Linked DNA regions of Arabidopsis thaliana. The protein of the gene in region 3 interacts with the protein of the main gene of each other region in a pairwise test. Each region holds a gene or a part of one and is shown on either strand. Other genes may lie near its edges.

The links. The genes of interacting proteins can lie anywhere in the genome.
Region 1: the proteins of ROXY1 (region 3) and TGA7 interact in binary tests that used the Arabidopsis thaliana proteins (3 or more experiments, as listed by UniProt).
Region 2: the proteins of ROXY1 (region 3) and PAN interact in binary tests that used the Arabidopsis thaliana proteins (3 or more experiments, as listed by UniProt).

Annotation. Positions count from the first base shown.
Region 1 is NC_003070.9:29,295,737-29,301,445, forward strand, and holds TGA7 (bZIP transcription factor family protein), read left to right. Parts: upstream 1-2,506; 5' UTR 2,507-2,904; intron 2,905-3,054; 5' UTR 3,055-3,104; intron 3,105-3,207; 5' UTR 3,208-3,222; coding exon 3,223-3,411; intron 3,412-3,501; coding exon 3,502-3,591; intron 3,592-3,697; coding exon 3,698-3,757; intron 3,758-3,835; coding exon 3,836-3,913; intron 3,914-4,019; coding exon 4,020-4,325; intron 4,326-4,404; coding exon 4,405-4,635; intron 4,636-4,718; coding exon 4,719-4,871; 3' UTR 4,872-5,209; downstream 5,210-5,709. Other genes in the region: AT1G77910 (uncharacterized protein), read left to right, coding at 402-671; AT1G77930 (Chaperone DnaJ-domain superfamily protein), read left to right, coding at 5,448-5,691.
Region 2 is NC_003070.9:25,769,076-25,775,305, reverse strand, and holds PAN (bZIP transcription factor family protein), read left to right. Parts: upstream 1-2,655; 5' UTR 2,656-3,002; coding exon 3,003-3,070; exon of another isoform or gene 3,071-3,086; intron 3,087-3,164; coding exon 3,165-3,241; intron 3,242-3,340; coding exon 3,341-3,387; intron 3,388-3,484; coding exon 3,485-3,712; intron 3,713-4,149; coding exon 4,150-4,227; intron 4,228-4,313; coding exon 4,314-4,373; intron 4,374-4,441; coding exon 4,442-4,519; intron 4,520-4,594; coding exon 4,595-4,652; intron 4,653-4,735; coding exon 4,736-5,007; intron 5,008-5,045; exon of another isoform or gene 5,046-5,086; coding exon 5,087-5,332; exon of another isoform or gene 5,333-5,420; coding exon 5,421-5,567; 3' UTR 5,568-5,730; downstream 5,731-6,230. Other genes in the region: AT1G68630 (PLAC8 family protein), read right to left, coding at 5,848-5,924, 6,040-6,230. UniProt on the Arabidopsis thaliana protein: Transcriptional activator involved in the determination of floral organ number. Acts to determine floral organ patterning by establishing floral organ primordia in specific numbers and positions.
Region 3 is NC_003074.8:331,125-335,436, reverse strand, and holds ROXY1 (Thioredoxin superfamily protein), read left to right. Parts: upstream 1-2,364; 5' UTR 2,365-2,514; coding exon 2,515-2,925; 3' UTR 2,926-3,162; downstream 3,163-4,312. Other genes in the region: ACR6 (ACT domain repeat 6), read right to left, coding at 3,371-3,697, 3,808-3,912, 3,978-4,312. UniProt on the Arabidopsis thaliana protein: Has a glutathione-disulfide oxidoreductase activity in the presence of NADPH and glutathione reductase. Reduces low molecular weight disulfides and proteins.

The sequences.
Region 1 (5,709 bases), on a different chromosome or scaffold from region 3:
ATGGAGTTTGATGATACAACAATGAAGGAAGGTCATGTGCACTTGTGTGACGTGAGAATATCCTCCGGCTTGTTTGGTCTTTAAAAGGAAAGGACACCACAATAACAATTATCAATTAGAAAACAAAAAATACTCCTTTTATTCTTAGTCACCAAACAAATAAAATCAGCTCCTTTTTTCATACCACACAATGGGAACAAAAGCAATGATAAAAGAAGCCCATCACCTTCCTTTGCTTTTAAATTATTCATAATTTATGAAAGAAACAAAAAAAATTATTATTTTTATTTTTGCTTCTCTTCCGGTAAGTCAAAGGAGATAATATTAAGAGTTTAGATATTAATCTCTTAAATTCTGTGTTCATTTTAAGATTTTGTAGCAAAAGTTTATTATTACTAATCATGTGGTTGTACTGCATGTTTAACCAACATGAAAGAATATGTATTCATTTTTTCGGAATGCGAAATAAGAGAATCAATCTCAGTTCAGTTCAAGTTCGAATCTTTGAACGACATGCGGTTTATATAAAAGGAACTATAGTATATAAATATATATTTATATATATGCCTCCTTTAATAGATTTTCTTATATTCCTTCTTTGTTTTGTAATTTATGGAGAATATTTACTATGTATTCTTCATGAAGCAATTTTACAAATATTCGAATTTTAATTTTTCCTTTTTTGAACGTCTGATGATCGATCATTCGCGTGCACAAGAATCTCATCAGGGCATGATAGATTCGAAATTTTGATTTGCTCAGTTACGATATATCTTTGATTATTCTTCCTACGGCGGTTTAAACCTAAAAACAAGTTTTCATGTTTTATTCACCTAGATTGGTTTCAAGTGTATTTTCTAACCACTATTTTTTTCAAGAAAACGGGAAACAAACAGAAACTATTTCTGGTGCAAAATATAGTCTGAAAATAGTAGAATGCAATCCATATCAATCTTGAAAGATATATTTTTTTAAAGTGTACTTGAGAAGAATGTAAGAAATAAGAGATTAAAAAAGGTACGGAGAAGATAACGAGAAAAGCAATAAAATGCATAACTTTTGTAGTCATAACGAAAAAAAGGAGAAAGAAGATAATGAAAATAGTGGAAGATCGGTGTCTTCGTGATGAATTAAAGTAGAATTGTGTGTACGTAACTTTTGTAATCATACTTTCTTTTTCTTCATCAACTATAAGACGTAACAATGATATCTATAATGCATGCATATAGTTTTAAAATTATCTAGGTTCTTGACCAAGGCTTAGTTAGCTCGGTAAGTTTCTAAGAACTTCGATTTACCAATAAATCAAGCCAAACTATATATGATCTTTCGCGATGCCAATTGATATTCTGACAGGATCATACAATATTGTTGCTTTTCTTGTATTTATTTATTTGCGTATCACCGCACCGATTCATATTTATTATAGTATATAGATTGGAAAAACAATATAGAGGGACTCTTTATTAAAGTAAAACCAAGAGAGGAAATAAAACTGAATAAGAAAATAAACAAACATGCTTGTCTTTGTCGAACACACAGATTTTTATTACACAAGTGGTTCCGAACTAATTAAGATTCCTAATTTTAAAATAATAAAGAGATTTAAAAATGTTATCTTTTGTGTTTGGTAGGCCATTAAAGCTCCAATTATTTGTCACTAAGTCAGGGAAGGAGACTAAGCATAAAGACGCCACTGCATAAACCTTATGGTCCCCTCAAAATAAACCTAAAGTTGTAAAAGAAAGAAAATAAAAACATAACGTTGATAAAATAAAATTTGAAGAAAGAAAATCCTACATCTTTGTACCACCTATATGAACCTAACTTATAGGGAAAAAGACATTGATTCTTTTGCAGACCCATCAGCGTGCATGTCCAAAAAGATGTGAAAATGGTTTCGAAAATTATGGATTGGTCATGATCAGTTAGACGATAATTCGGGCTATGATTATGAATATATATTTATATTTAAAAGGATGAATCTTTTCAACTTTAGATATTCTAATTATAGTATAAATCATGATCATTTTATCATTTACGACATGTTTAAATCGCCGTAACATACATAGAAACATATGAAACGATTTTACATATATGACAATTCAATTTATATATATACTACAAAACGTACGGTTCTATATACACTACATTTATGATAAACTTCGAACTTGTCTATAGTTTAAGAAAATCTGTTGCTGCTGTCAAAAGCACTAAATCTTTGATCAACCAATAAATCAAAAGTTTCCCACGATACCAAAATTTAAAGAAACGGGGGAAAAGTATATTTGTTCTGTTAAAACTATTTATTATTTGAACCCTAAAACATAAGACTCTTTCCAATTCTGGAATGCAAATAAATTATACACCACCGGAATAATCGACTGAACTTGGTACGTGTCGACATCGGAAGGTATTTCAGCTCTTGGTAGATGACATCACGTCGTGCGTACCTCAGAAATTAAAGCGCACGATAAGGTCACCTTCTCGGCTTTGCCAAAGATGCATCTCTCTCTTGCGTTTTGTTTGTCGTTAAACGTTTCGTTCCTTTAAATTGATTGTGATTATTTCTTAATAAACTTGATTACTATTATTAATTCTTTAACTTAAATATTACTCTAATGGTGATGCCGTGATGGTCACAAATAAATGAAATAGAAAAAGACCAAAACAAAAAAAAAAAATCCTTTTTTCCTCTCTTTTACATGATGGGAACTCTTGACCTTTAAGTTTTTTTTTTTTGTGACAGGAAGTGTTCAAAGGAACGAAATACACTTCTTCTTCCATTTGATGTCTGTGGTCCGAATGAAAAATATCTCTGTATTAACCAGAAACGTGTTTCATAAGCATCTTTAACTCTTCAGCTCTCAAATTCTTCATGAATATCTCTGCTTATCGATCAAGGTTTGTTAAATTTTCCCTCCCTCTCTGTTTTTCACTTGAAACGTTTGGATCTTGGAGAATTTGGAGTTTCTCGTGTGTTTTTTTTAGTTCCAAACTTTATATTAGTTTTAAAAATGATTAAGAGTTTATTCTGTTTATGGTTTGTATCAGTGAGAGCAAATGCAATTTTTAAGAGCCAGCTATTGGATCTATAACTGAAGGTGAGGCAACACAAAACTTTCTTTTTTCTTTCTGCTTTGATCTATTCTTGTGCATGTTTTTGAAAGATTCTAAATTACCAACTATGATTGGTTTGATATGTAGAGGATATATATAGAGATGATGAGTTCTTCTTCTCCAACACAACTTGCATCTTTAAGAGACATGGGAATCTATGAGCCATTTCAACAAATTGTCGGTTGGGGAAATGTTTTCAAATCTGATATCAATGATCATAGTCCCAATACTGCTACTTCCTCTATTATTCAGGTTGATCCTAGAATTGATGATCACAACAACAACATCAAGGTTAACTAGTTTTCTTCTTTCAAGATTCATTGATTTTTGAAAGTTGTTGTTACTTGTTTTTTTACTAATGGGTTTTTAAATCACGTGCAGATAAATTATGATTCTTCTCATAACCAGATCGAAGCAGAACAACCTTCTAGTAATGATAATCAAGATGATGATGGCAGGATTCATGATAAGGTTTAGATCAAAACAAAGCTAATTATGTTTTCTTTTTTATACATGCATAATAGAAAATGGTGGTTTTTGTGATATTGATTGATATTCTTTTGTCATATGCCAATAGATGAAACGGCGTTTAGCGCAGAACCGAGAAGCGGCTCGCAAAAGTCGTTTGAGAAAGAAGGTAGAAGCAAGTCCCTTTATTGAATCTCATATAGTTTAGTTAGTTGCTACTAAGTCCTCTTTTTTTTTGTATCTTTAGGCTTATGTTCAGCAGTTAGAGGAAAGCCGGTTAAAGTTATCGCAGTTAGAGCAAGAACTCGAAAAGGTTAAGCAGCAGGTGAGCTAGGTCAAAAGATATGTTTAAAATGTTCTGTTTTGAGTCTCTATCAAGAAAATCAGTTTTGGTTTCGTAATTGACTCAGTACTAAATGTTTTCTTTCAAGGGCCATTTAGGACCATCTGGGAGTATTAACACAGGGATTGCATCATTTGAGATGGAATATTCACACTGGCTACAAGAACAAAGCAGAAGAGTTAGCGAACTACGAACAGCGCTTCAATCTCATATAAGCGACATAGAACTCAAGATGCTAGTAGAGAGTTGCTTGAACCATTACGCTAATCTTTTCCAAATGAAATCCGATGCAGCAAAAGCCGATGTTTTCTACTTGATATCGGGAATGTGGCGAACTTCAACCGAAAGATTCTTCCAATGGATTGGAGGGTTTCGTCCATCCGAACTTTTAAACGTAAAAATACCCAAAATGTTACAATCTCTAACAAAAACATTTTCAAAATGTAATATTTTCTCCTTCCCTTTTCTTGTAGGTTGTGATGCCTTATCTTCAACCATTAACGGATCAACAAATCTTGGAAGTGAGAAACCTCCAACAATCATCACAACAAGCAGAGGATGCTCTGTCTCAAGGGATTGATAAACTTCAACAGAGTTTAGCTGAAAGCATTGTGATTGATGCGGTTATCGAGTCCACGCATTATCCCACTCACATGGCTGCAGCTATAGAGAATCTTCAAGCATTAGAAGGATTTGTGAATCAAGTAAGTAGTAAACATTAACTCAAAACAAATTAAGTAAAGTTTGTGTCATTCTATTTCAAACATCTCTATCCTGATTATAACAGGCAGATCATCTGAGGCAACAAACTTTGCAACAAATGGCGAAGATCTTAACGACAAGACAATCGGCTCGAGGTTTACTAGCTTTAGGAGAGTATCTTCATAGACTTCGTGCTCTTAGTTCTCTTTGGGCAGCTCGTCCACAAGAACCAACTTAAAAGAGGAACTTATTAAAACTTTAAAAACAAGAAACAGCAGAATCAAAAGTCTTGAAGAAGCATACTCATCACAAAGCTTGGAAGGATGTTTTAAAAAAGATCTTTGTTAATTAAGTAGAGTGAGATTCTCTTGATTAGAACTTTATGGTTTTTGCTTTATGAAGTATCTCTCCAGAGAAGATTGTAAATTTGGGTTGAAACTTTGTAATATATTTAGATACAACAAATAAGTTTGAAATCTGAGCAATTTGATAATATGTGTACTGAATGTATATTTAATGTATTATTAAGGGACTAATGTGAAACTCAATAAATCAAAGGGTACTATTGTAATTTTCCCATCGTTGCGCTTCAGTCGTCCACAAAAAAACTTCCGTTGGAATTTTCTGAGGAAAATGAGAAAATTCAATTGAAGAAAAGAGTAAAGAAGAAGTCTCTTGTTCGGTTGGATTTTTCAGGAATTTCATTTTCGTGAGCTTACTTGTTCGTTCATATAAAGAGGTGGAATTTGATTTATATGAATTTTGATTTCTGGGTTTACGAAATTGATCGGTTTCTGGGTTGGAACTTGAAGTTATGAGCAATCTTCGAGCTATCTGTAGACCATACTCTGTGTTCTCTTCGATTGTGTGTTGTAGTAGACATCAAAGTCGATCACTTTTTAGGGTTTCGATTAAAAACGTCGCCTTTAGAAACCAGAGTTCGAATTCGTCTTGGTTTAGGTCTAAAAATTCGAATCTTTGGTTTCGTTTGAATCAGAGGAAGACTCTAGTTAGAGCATCGAATTGGAGCCAAGAGAAATCTCCTTACGATACTCTCGGTAAGCTTCTTCTACCAA
Region 2 (6,230 bases), on a different chromosome or scaffold from region 3:
AAGTACCTCAAAGTTACATGAAACAGTTTATATCGAGCTTTCTTCTAGACTCATAGTTAAACAGTTATTAACCAGTGAGAACTACATGATCTTGTTTATTTCATATAGTAAACTTTCGTACAAGTATATCTAATTATCTGACAGAGTTATAAAAAGTAAGATCTACAGAAATGTTGTTGGGAATAGTCCCGGTAAGACCTTTTGCACCTACTGAATCCAAAGCTCTAAGACCAAGTAAATTTTGTGTTGGCTTATAAGTAATGGCTAATAGTCTCTATGCTCGCACAGCTAAATGATTAAAACTGTGTAACAACAACAACAACATTGCTTTCTTTATTCCTCCACATGTCAAATCATCATCAATAGGAAGTTGTAGAAGATTTGTTTTGGTCAAATGTAACAATCTAATGTACTGTATCTAATTATCTTCGGAAAAGAGAAACACTCAAGACTCTAAACCTTTTTATTTATGAAAGAAAAAAAATGGTACATATGATGCAGAGAAATGTTCTAAAGATTATTTACTTCTCCCAAATGTTTCAAAAAGAAATGAGAAGAGAAGAAAGAGACAAGATCGGATTCTGACGAGTAAAAAACAAGAAAATACCCACAAGACTAAACAGAGCCTAGACGTCATTGACTCTGCCAAATGTACTACTACTCTCTTGTCCAAAACCAATTTCATTATTGGTACGTTTCCGGTTTGGTGTAAAATAGGTATCCAATTCTCGGTTATGTGTAAATATTTGGTAAAAGAAAAGTCAATGAAGCCTCCGGGAGAAACGAGAGTTTACTGGTTTTAGAATAGGAGACAGTAATAAATTTTCATTTAAAAAAAGTTACTAAAAAAACTAATGCTCATAATAGTTTCTACATTTATAATGAGGAAGATGTTTCTTTCAAGCAAAGCTTTTCTTTTTAATGCTCTTCTTCATCGGTCCACTGAATATCAAGTTAATAATACTGCAAAAATTATTTGGTTTTTATCATTAAATAGGGATACTATTAGAATTCATTTATTTGTGTATGATTTTATAAATCAAAATTAAAAATATTGGCAGATTTTTTAATTAGCTTTCCATCAACATCACATCAGCTTCAGAGCAGAAACCAGCCAGCCAGACTATTGCCTGCTTTATGGTAACTAGATTTCATTAATATCTGTTTTTTTTTTTAAACTTCAAATTAGTTATATAGTTAAATACATAAAAATAATCATTGAGAAAATAACATCTTAGGCTAGGCTTTTGACATTTTTACAGGAGAGATGAGAGATGAGACATTGAAGAAACTTTCAACAATACATCATGATTCATGAGCATATCCAGTTATCAACTAAATCGTGCATTAATTACGTTTTTATAATATTTGAAAATTGATTAGAGAAATTCATTAGCTTTGTTATTTATATTAAATAATTATATATTTTTTTATATCTTTTGTGCATGGGAAAAAATAAAAACTCAGAGTGGCAGTGGTCGAGAGGCCATTTTCAACTTTGGCAGACACAGTAAAACAAGATGGAAATGACACTCTCTGTATCTGAATTATCCAGGCTCTGCATTACATATACATACAAATTTTACACATTTATTCCATGCGTGAAGGTTTATAATTATATGAAAACAAAATAGTTAAAGAATAACAATTTCAAAAACAGTTAAAAGCAAATCATAAGCCTAATATCTTGGCAAATTAAAATTTTATTTTTCTTCAAACCCTAAATTTTGACTTGCACAAGAAAAAAGAAGGCTTATTATAGAAACTTTAAAATTAAATTAAATAATAAATCAAATATTAGAGAAAGAAAGATATGAACATACTCCCAAGTTTCAAGAGACACATTGTCAGCAAACATCCAAATTATCGTCATTCTCGATTCTATCTTCATATCTTGGTTAAAGACCATATAATAATTCCAAATACTAATGTGTCGTATAACACCATTATGTCTCAATTTAAAAACTAAACCACATCTTATTATAATTCGGTAACACACATGACACATATGGTTGATTTAAAATTAGCATGAACTCATTCATATTCAATTTTGTTTTGCTATCTTCGTATTGAACGTATATTGAGGAGTGATATTTTAGCTGCTAATCTAGCTATAATACATGAACCATTGTGTTAGAATAGTTTACAAAAAATGTCACAAAATATTTGACATCTCATATAATTCATAAGCCATATGTCCTAACATACAATATATACAATGTGACATGGGAAAGAAATTGCGAGATCAAACTTAGAAACTAGCTTTATTAGGCTTTTGATAATACGTAAGATAATTAAAAGACTCAATAATCACTAATCCTAACCTTTTATTAAAAAAAATTTGTCAACTAAAACTAAACTTACACATTTTTCCTATACTTAGACACTTTGTTGATTTTTTCACCAAGGTAAGATCCAACCTTACATACATTTAATATTTTGATCGTTTAAGATTTTTAAAGTTCTTGAAAATGGAGTATTACAATAGATTCATTAGCAAAACATTATTAGTTTTATTTTTTCCTCATTCATTAGCAAAACAAAGTTAACTGATCATTATAATCCCACAAAATTAACTACACTAGATGTAGTAAAAATCTGGAAAAATTAGTAAATAGAGTAACATATTTTTAAAATAGGAAAACAAAGGGTACGTGGGTGTGTGTGTTGGTTATTGGGAAACTAAAATCCCACCCTCTCAGACGCAATACATTTACACTTTTTTTTTATTAAACATAAATCTCAAAATCTCTTCTCTGATTTCTTTCTCTCTCTCACACACAATATAGTAATTTCGTATTTATTAATGATGAATCCTCCAGCCGTACTGATTCGCCATCTTTTCACCTCTTTAATGAATTCTCTCCTCACTCCCTCCTTCCCTTTTAACTTCACTTTCTTCTTCTGATAACCCAACTCCTTAAGAAAGCTCACTTCTTTTTCCCCTGATTCCCTTTGTGTCATCATCTTTCATCATCTTCTTCTTCTAAGAATCAACAACAATGCAGAGCAGCTTCAAAACCGTTCCTTTCACTCCTGATTTCTACTCTCAGTCTTCTTACTTCTTCAGGTAACAACACTTCTCCTTCTCTCTTTTTCTCTTCTTAAAAAGCTTCAACAACAAAAAAAAAAACCAATCTTTTTTGTTCTTAATGGAAAAACAGAGGAGATAGTTGTCTTGAGGAGTTTCATCAACCAGTCAATGGTTTTCACCATGAAGAAGCTATCGATTTAAGTCCAAGTTAGCTTCTTTTTCTCTTCCTTTTTTCTTACAAGTGCAAAAAGGTTTAAGCTTTGTTGAAAGAATCTCAAGTAGGTTCCATTTTCTGATTTCCTGCAGATGTCACTATTGCTTCAGCTAACTTACACTACACGACGTTTGATACGGTAAAAAGTTCACCAAACCCAAATTTTTAAAATAGAAAAAAGTTTCCGTTTTTTTAGCTCAGACTTTCTATGTATGTATGTATACTCTGTTTTTTAGGTTATGGATTGTGGTGGTGGTGGTGGTGGTGGCTTGAGGGAGAGACTTGAAGGAGGAGAAGAGGAGTGTTTGGACACAGGGCAACTAGTGTACCAGAAAGGGACAAGATTAGTAGGAGGAGGAGTAGGAGAAGTGAACAGCAGTTGGTGTGATTCGGTTTCAGCTATGGCTGATAACAGTCAACATACTGACACTTCCACAGATATTGATACTGATGACAAGACTCAGGTTTTGTTCCTTTGTCTTCTTCAATAACCAATCTCTCTGTCTGTCACAACCAAAAAAAAAGATAAAAAGATTCTGTCTTTTTTTTCTTTCATTTCTGTTTTGTTTCTTCTACACTTGTTGGAGTTTTGTTTTGTCCCTTTTGTTTTTTTTTATAATTTCTCATTGATATGTCACCTTGGTATTCGATCAATATTGTTTGCTCAGATTATGTCTGTTTCAATAAGAGCTTGTCTGTTTTGTTTTTTGGTTTAATGGGACACAACATGGATGATTGGTTTGTTGAATTTACTACTAAAATTTACAAGTTTCTTCCTTTTTATGGTTATGAACTTATGATATGAAAAACGTTACTTGGCCGTGTTGATGTTGCTTGTAAAGTTTGTTGTTTCATTATTTATAGTTGCATTGATGTATATTGATTGGTTTGTGTTATATAGTTGAATGGAGGTCATCAAGGGATGCTATTGGCTACAAATTGTTCAGATCAATCCAATGTGAAATCTAGTGATCAAAGGGTAGATCTTCTGATTTTAACCATTTGAGTTTTGGATACGTTGGTTTATGTGTGAATGAACTTTTGACATTTTTGAATTCTTGGCAGACACTTCGTCGACTTGCTCAGAACCGGGAGGCTGCTAGGAAAAGTCGGTTGAGGAAAAAGGTATAGTAGCTGATTCAACTGTGTTTTTCATCGTCCATTATCTTTGTATTTACATTGTCTTTTAATAGGCATATGTTCAGCAACTTGAGAATAGTCGAATCAGGCTTGCACAGCTAGAGGAAGAGCTCAAAAGAGCTCGCCAACAGGTCTGATTAACACTGTTGTCTTCTTTAATTTGCATGTTCTACTAAATTGTATTAAAGGGCTTCTTTTGTATGCAGGGATCTTTGGTTGAAAGAGGAGTTTCAGCGGATCACACGCATTTGGCAGCCGGAAATGGTAAAGACTTTCAGAATCTCACATAACACTTCTTGACTCTTTGTGATCTTTTACTAAGAATGAAGTTGGTTTTGATGTTGTAGGTGTCTTTTCATTTGAATTGGAATATACACGTTGGAAGGAAGAACATCAAAGAATGATCAACGACTTAAGATCGGGTGTGAATTCGCAGTTAGGTGACAACGATCTACGCGTTCTAGTGGATGCTGTGATGAGTCACTATGATGAAATATTCAGGCTAAAGGGAATTGGTACTAAAGTTGACGTCTTTCATATGCTCTCAGGCATGTGGAAGACACCTGCCGAGAGATTTTTCATGTGGTTAGGTGGATTTAGATCATCAGAGTTACTTAAGGTAAAAGAAAGGGTTCAAAACATTTTCACAATCATTGGTTTTGATTTTTTTTTCTCATAATTGGTAACTATGTTGTTAGATATTGGGGAACCATGTGGATCCATTGACGGACCAGCAGTTGATAGGCATTTGCAACCTTCAGCAATCGTCTCAACAAGCAGAGGATGCATTGTCACAAGGCATGGAAGCTCTACAACAATCACTTCTCGAGACGCTTTCTTCTGCTTCAATGGGTCCAAACTCTTCAGCAAATGTTGCAGATTATATGGGTCATATGGCTATGGCTATGGGCAAACTTGGCACTCTTGAAAACTTCCTTCGCCAGGTAAGAAAAAATGAACAGAATGTCTCTTGTCAACAACAACATTTGTTATTACAAATCAAAGAGCTTAAAGGTTACTATATCTTTGCAGGCTGATTTATTGAGGCAACAAACTCTGCAACAGCTTCACAGAATTCTCACCACACGACAAGCTGCTCGCGCCTTTTTGGTCATCCACGATTATATTTCTCGGCTTAGAGCACTTAGCTCTCTATGGTTAGCCAGACCTAGAGACTAAATAAAAAGCCTGCATGAGTCATGATGACCAAAGGAAAAGCATAGTTCTGGTCTTAGGTTTTCATATTTACATATTTTTAACTAAAAGACCCATAACGCTCTTCTCTTTAGTGTATTAGATCATCTGTTTATTTAGTTGGTAGTGAACGTTACCATTCAGAATCAGTCATCGTTTTTTTTTATTTTACTTTCCCTAGCTAAACTGAGAAACACCTGAAGCTTACAAGATCTACAGAAAAGTTTTAAACCGTAAGAGATAATAGCCGCATTGCGTGAAAGTATCATCGAATCATGCCAGGTACAACTATGGGAGGTGTTACTTTCTCACGGCTCCATTTCTCTACATTCGAAAGCCATCCTGAAAAATCACAAAAAAAAAAAAAAAACATATTGTGTAAGCTGAATCTTTATGTTTTCATGTTGTTACATCAAGTTTGCCGGGGAAAAAAATCTTTAAAGCATTAGATGAATACCGATAGAAGGATCAGCGCCGCGGTTCTTGAGTTCTCGGGACTCTTGGCAGATAGCGCATGGGGTGCAAAAGAGATGGACTAAAAAGTCACGGCATGGTTCTTCAGGCAATGCGAAATGTTCCCTAAGCCTAGACCGGTTTGGAAAAGCGTAGAGCCAGCTACAACCAATAAAGCCTAACGCTAGATGAATC
Region 3 (4,312 bases):
GCCATGCACCTGCATGCAGAACAACATATCGACGTATATCTCGATGAAATACTTTTATCTTTTGGTGAAATAATAAGATAGTTAGTGTTAGTGATAAAGATGAGTGGGATTGCAGTTTGCATGGGCTTAGGGTTATATACTAATTATAAATGAGGATTTTTAGGGGAATTCGTGAGCACTCCCACAATACCCTCACCGCCTTTTCGCCGCGACACCGACATGCGATATCTTCCTTTTTCTTTTGCCTTCTTTTTTGTTTTTACGTTTTCCATTTATTTTTTTACTAACTAAAGCTTTTTGGAAATTCAATATACATTATAACATATATACATGTTCCATAGCATATACAGCTACACCACGCGCATACATAGGCACAGATATGTACCTTCCTCTGTATCAGTGTATTACAGATATATATGAGCCAGCTGTTTGTATATATATAATATATACATTGTTTTATAACCCGTAGGGACATATCTTGGTCAGGTGTTGGAATCAGACTCGGACCATTATACTTCGACGATAGAACTCTCTAAAGCTTATTTTAGGGTTTAGTTCAAACCCCACCTTTCATCTCCCTATCGGCTTTGTTTCACCGTAAGAGGTAAAAAAAAAACGAAATTTGAAAATATAAAAATATGAAATGAAGATATATTTATAACAAAGCACAACATTAATATTGTGCAAAGAGAGACATACACACAGATATTTATAAATGGCAAAGACCAGATAAAGCTGAAAAGATAGCATCACGCTCGTATTCTTTCTATTTTTTATTTTGATATCAATTTATATATTTTGTTGTACTAATTAATATAGGCCAGAGGGCTCTCGTTTCCTGCCATCTAACCCTACCCGTCCGATCGATCAAAATCTCTTTTTTTTTTTTCTTTTTCTCTCTAAAATGTTTTTTTTTACAAGAAGAAAATCATCTTTTTATTGATAATCATAAAACGAAAGATTTTTAAAGTTTTGTATAATGTTAGCCTTGTATATACATATTTAAACTTTGAAGAATAAAAAAAAAAGCCAAAAACAGAAAAGAGCTAGATCAATATACAAAGGAATAAGGAATGTTCAAAGTTTCAAGTTTCAGGCGTTGAATACGAACTTCAGAAATGTTCAAAATACCCTTATTGAAAAGCATGTACATACGCTACTCGAAAGGGTTAATATCGGAGAATCGGTTGAACAGATCAAACATTGTATGACAAGTGTTACGTAAGTCTTCTGTCAGGAAAACTAGATTTTTAAAAAAAAAATCAAAAATCAAAGGTAAAGCGATCCGACAACCACAATCCGACAAGATTATTTATCTTTTACGATTTCTCATGCAAAGATTTTTTTCCAGAAAAGAAATACATGAGTTTAAACACTAAAAGAAGTAACTTTCTTTTTCAGCTAGAGGGAGCATAACTGTACGGACTTCTCTTACTATATTCAATATACATATAAAATCTTCTCTTCCATCAATCCTTCGTTTTAAATCTCATTTTAAGATTTAATTTATTGTGGAGCTCAAACCTGAGACACACAAAAAAGGCATTTCGTGTATAAAGGACACAAGCGTGGAAGCCAAAAGCATGTCACAAACTACAAACTTTGTAAACTTTGAAGAAAAAAAAAAAAGGCTTTTTCTATATAAAATTGTTCAAATTTTAATATTGTTATAATTAAACCCATCCAAATTAATTCATGGGTGCTGTTCTTATAAAATATGTACACATCATAATTCTCGAGTCATAATTCTTTTTCTATATATATAAGGAGGATGCTATTAATCTGGATAAGAAACATAAGATTCTGACTCCTTAACAAATTATGATGTGATGATTACACATTTGCTGGATTGATGATTACTCGGTCGTATGGAATTATATATTTTACAGAGTAGAATGGAATAAAAGAAAAACCCTGCCAAAATCCATATTGTACAGATTGAGGGAGCTTATCTACGTGGAAATTATGGTTTCTTACTTTATGATCATGTATCTGAAAATACAAAGAAAGAAAAAGAGAGAATTAAGTGGTAAGAAAATTAATGGTGAGAGCGGTAAGAGCCGACAAGAAGGACAGACGGAGCCGTCTATTACCAACAACTCCCTTCTGATAAAAGCCTGTTCTTCAACTCTCCTTGCCTTTTTTTTTTTTTTTACAAAAAAATGAAATTATTCCGATAACTATTATCGGTGTTTGTTTTCAACAGCAATCACTATCTTGATGTCATCGGTTTTAATTCATATGTTTTGTTACTTTTTTTCTTTTTTTCATGGAGAAGTAAATAGAGGTCATGTTATTATACACAAATAATAAAGAAAGAAACAATAATACTAATAATTAGAGGAAAACAGAGTTAGACTCAGAGGTGTAGTAGGCCTCTATAAATACTCTGCATGGCTCTCACTCTCTTCTCACCAACAAACTTTAGCCAATCCCTCTTTCTCTCTTATTCGTGTTTAATCTAGTTTCTTTCCAAACAAAAGTGTAACAAGAGAAAGAGAAGAGATATCAAAGATGCAATACCAGACAGAATCGTGGGGATCATACAAGATGAGCAGCTTAGGATTCGGCGGTTTGGGGATGGTGGCTGACACTGGTCTGCTTCGTATAGAGTCCCTGGCTTCTGAGAGCGCGGTGGTGATCTTCAGCGTGAGCACGTGCTGCATGTGCCACGCCGTGAAGGGTCTCTTCAGAGGAATGGGCGTCAGCCCCGCCGTCCACGAGCTCGACCTCCACCCCTACGGCGGCGACATCCAGCGAGCCCTCATTCGTCTCCTCGGCTGCTCCGGCTCCTCTTCTCCAGGGTCTCTCCCGGTCGTCTTCATCGGCGGTAAACTGGTTGGAGCTATGGACAGAGTCATGGCTTCTCACATAAACGGCTCTCTCGTTCCTCTTCTCAAAGACGCCGGCGCTCTCTGGCTCTGATCCCTTCCTCTGCTTTCTTTTTTCTTTTCTATTTGAAGTTTTCTTGTAAGAGAATGTGGTGGAGGAAGATTAGGAAACTAGTCAATGGCTGTAATGACAGGTTTTAGATTATAGTTTGTAATTAGAGAGAGAGTTGTTTTAAGCTCACCTTTCTCTGTCTTCCTCTTCTTCATCTCTTATTGATCTTTCGAATGCTCTCATTAAATCATAATAGTAAACACTTTGCATCTTTATTAATGTCCCCTGGATCCATTAATCAACGGTATTAACTGACGCCGTATCTATTCAAAGGCAGTTCCTGTTATTTTGTTCACACAAATTTACACACAAGGGACTTGTTGAGAGGGGATCGCTACGATCAGCTTAAATGATGCCCTACTCTGTCTAACCTATACAAAGCACACACACACTCTATGACTATGAGTGAGATAGGTGAAGCTTGAAGCTACTTGGGTTTGAAGATGTTACTTAGCAAATACCCCATTGTAGTTGTTTCGTGCGAAGGCCTGCTTGTACCAAGAACAGAGCAATGCTCCTTCTCCTTCTTCTTCACCTTCAGCTTGCTTACTCCTATCTGTTGTCTGATTGACTCCACGATTTTTGATTCAACCGGGTTTCCAGTCACGTCTGTAACGTAGAACGTGTCTTTAGCCTTACCCTCTCGCGTTGATATCTCTGCTCTCACAATGGTTAAGCTGTTCTCTCGGAATGTTCTGGTTATGTCTGAGAGAAGACCAACTCGGTCTTCTGCTGATAATTCCAGCTCTAAACCCTGAAAGTATGTTTCATATGCACAATCTGTCTTGAGTATATCAGAAATCGATGCAGAACAGAATGTAATTTGAGCCAAGACAGAGAATTTTCACATTCCTAATTGGTTACCTCCGATGCTCTCCTCTCAATGGCTGCTTCCAGACATTGTATGACACGTTCTTGCTCTGCTTCTGAGTTTATGGGAAGTCCATCCACATGACGGATGTAAAATTCCTGCAGCAAAACACTCATATTATTGTTAGAAGAGAGATCCCAACAGACGGCCGTTGAGTAGTTACCTGATAAGCCTCCACTGGTTCTGTGCTGACCATGCCATGGAACACCACATACTGCATATCAGTCAAAGTACAGACTACGTCAAACACAAGCTTTGGTCTATCTTTGGACCTCATGGTAACAACGGTATAATCCTTCTCAATGTTCATTAGTGTGACACTGGGCCTTGACGCCGATGTCCTTGCTCTTTTGACTCCCTCGTAGTCCCTATCATCAAACATGATCTGATGCAACCGTCTCTCCCTGTGTGTATCAGAACAAGAGAAGACTGTTTTCGCAGCTCTTGAGCCGCTGTTTGTCCTCACTACATTGCACAGCAGCTCCTTGATGGTGGAAA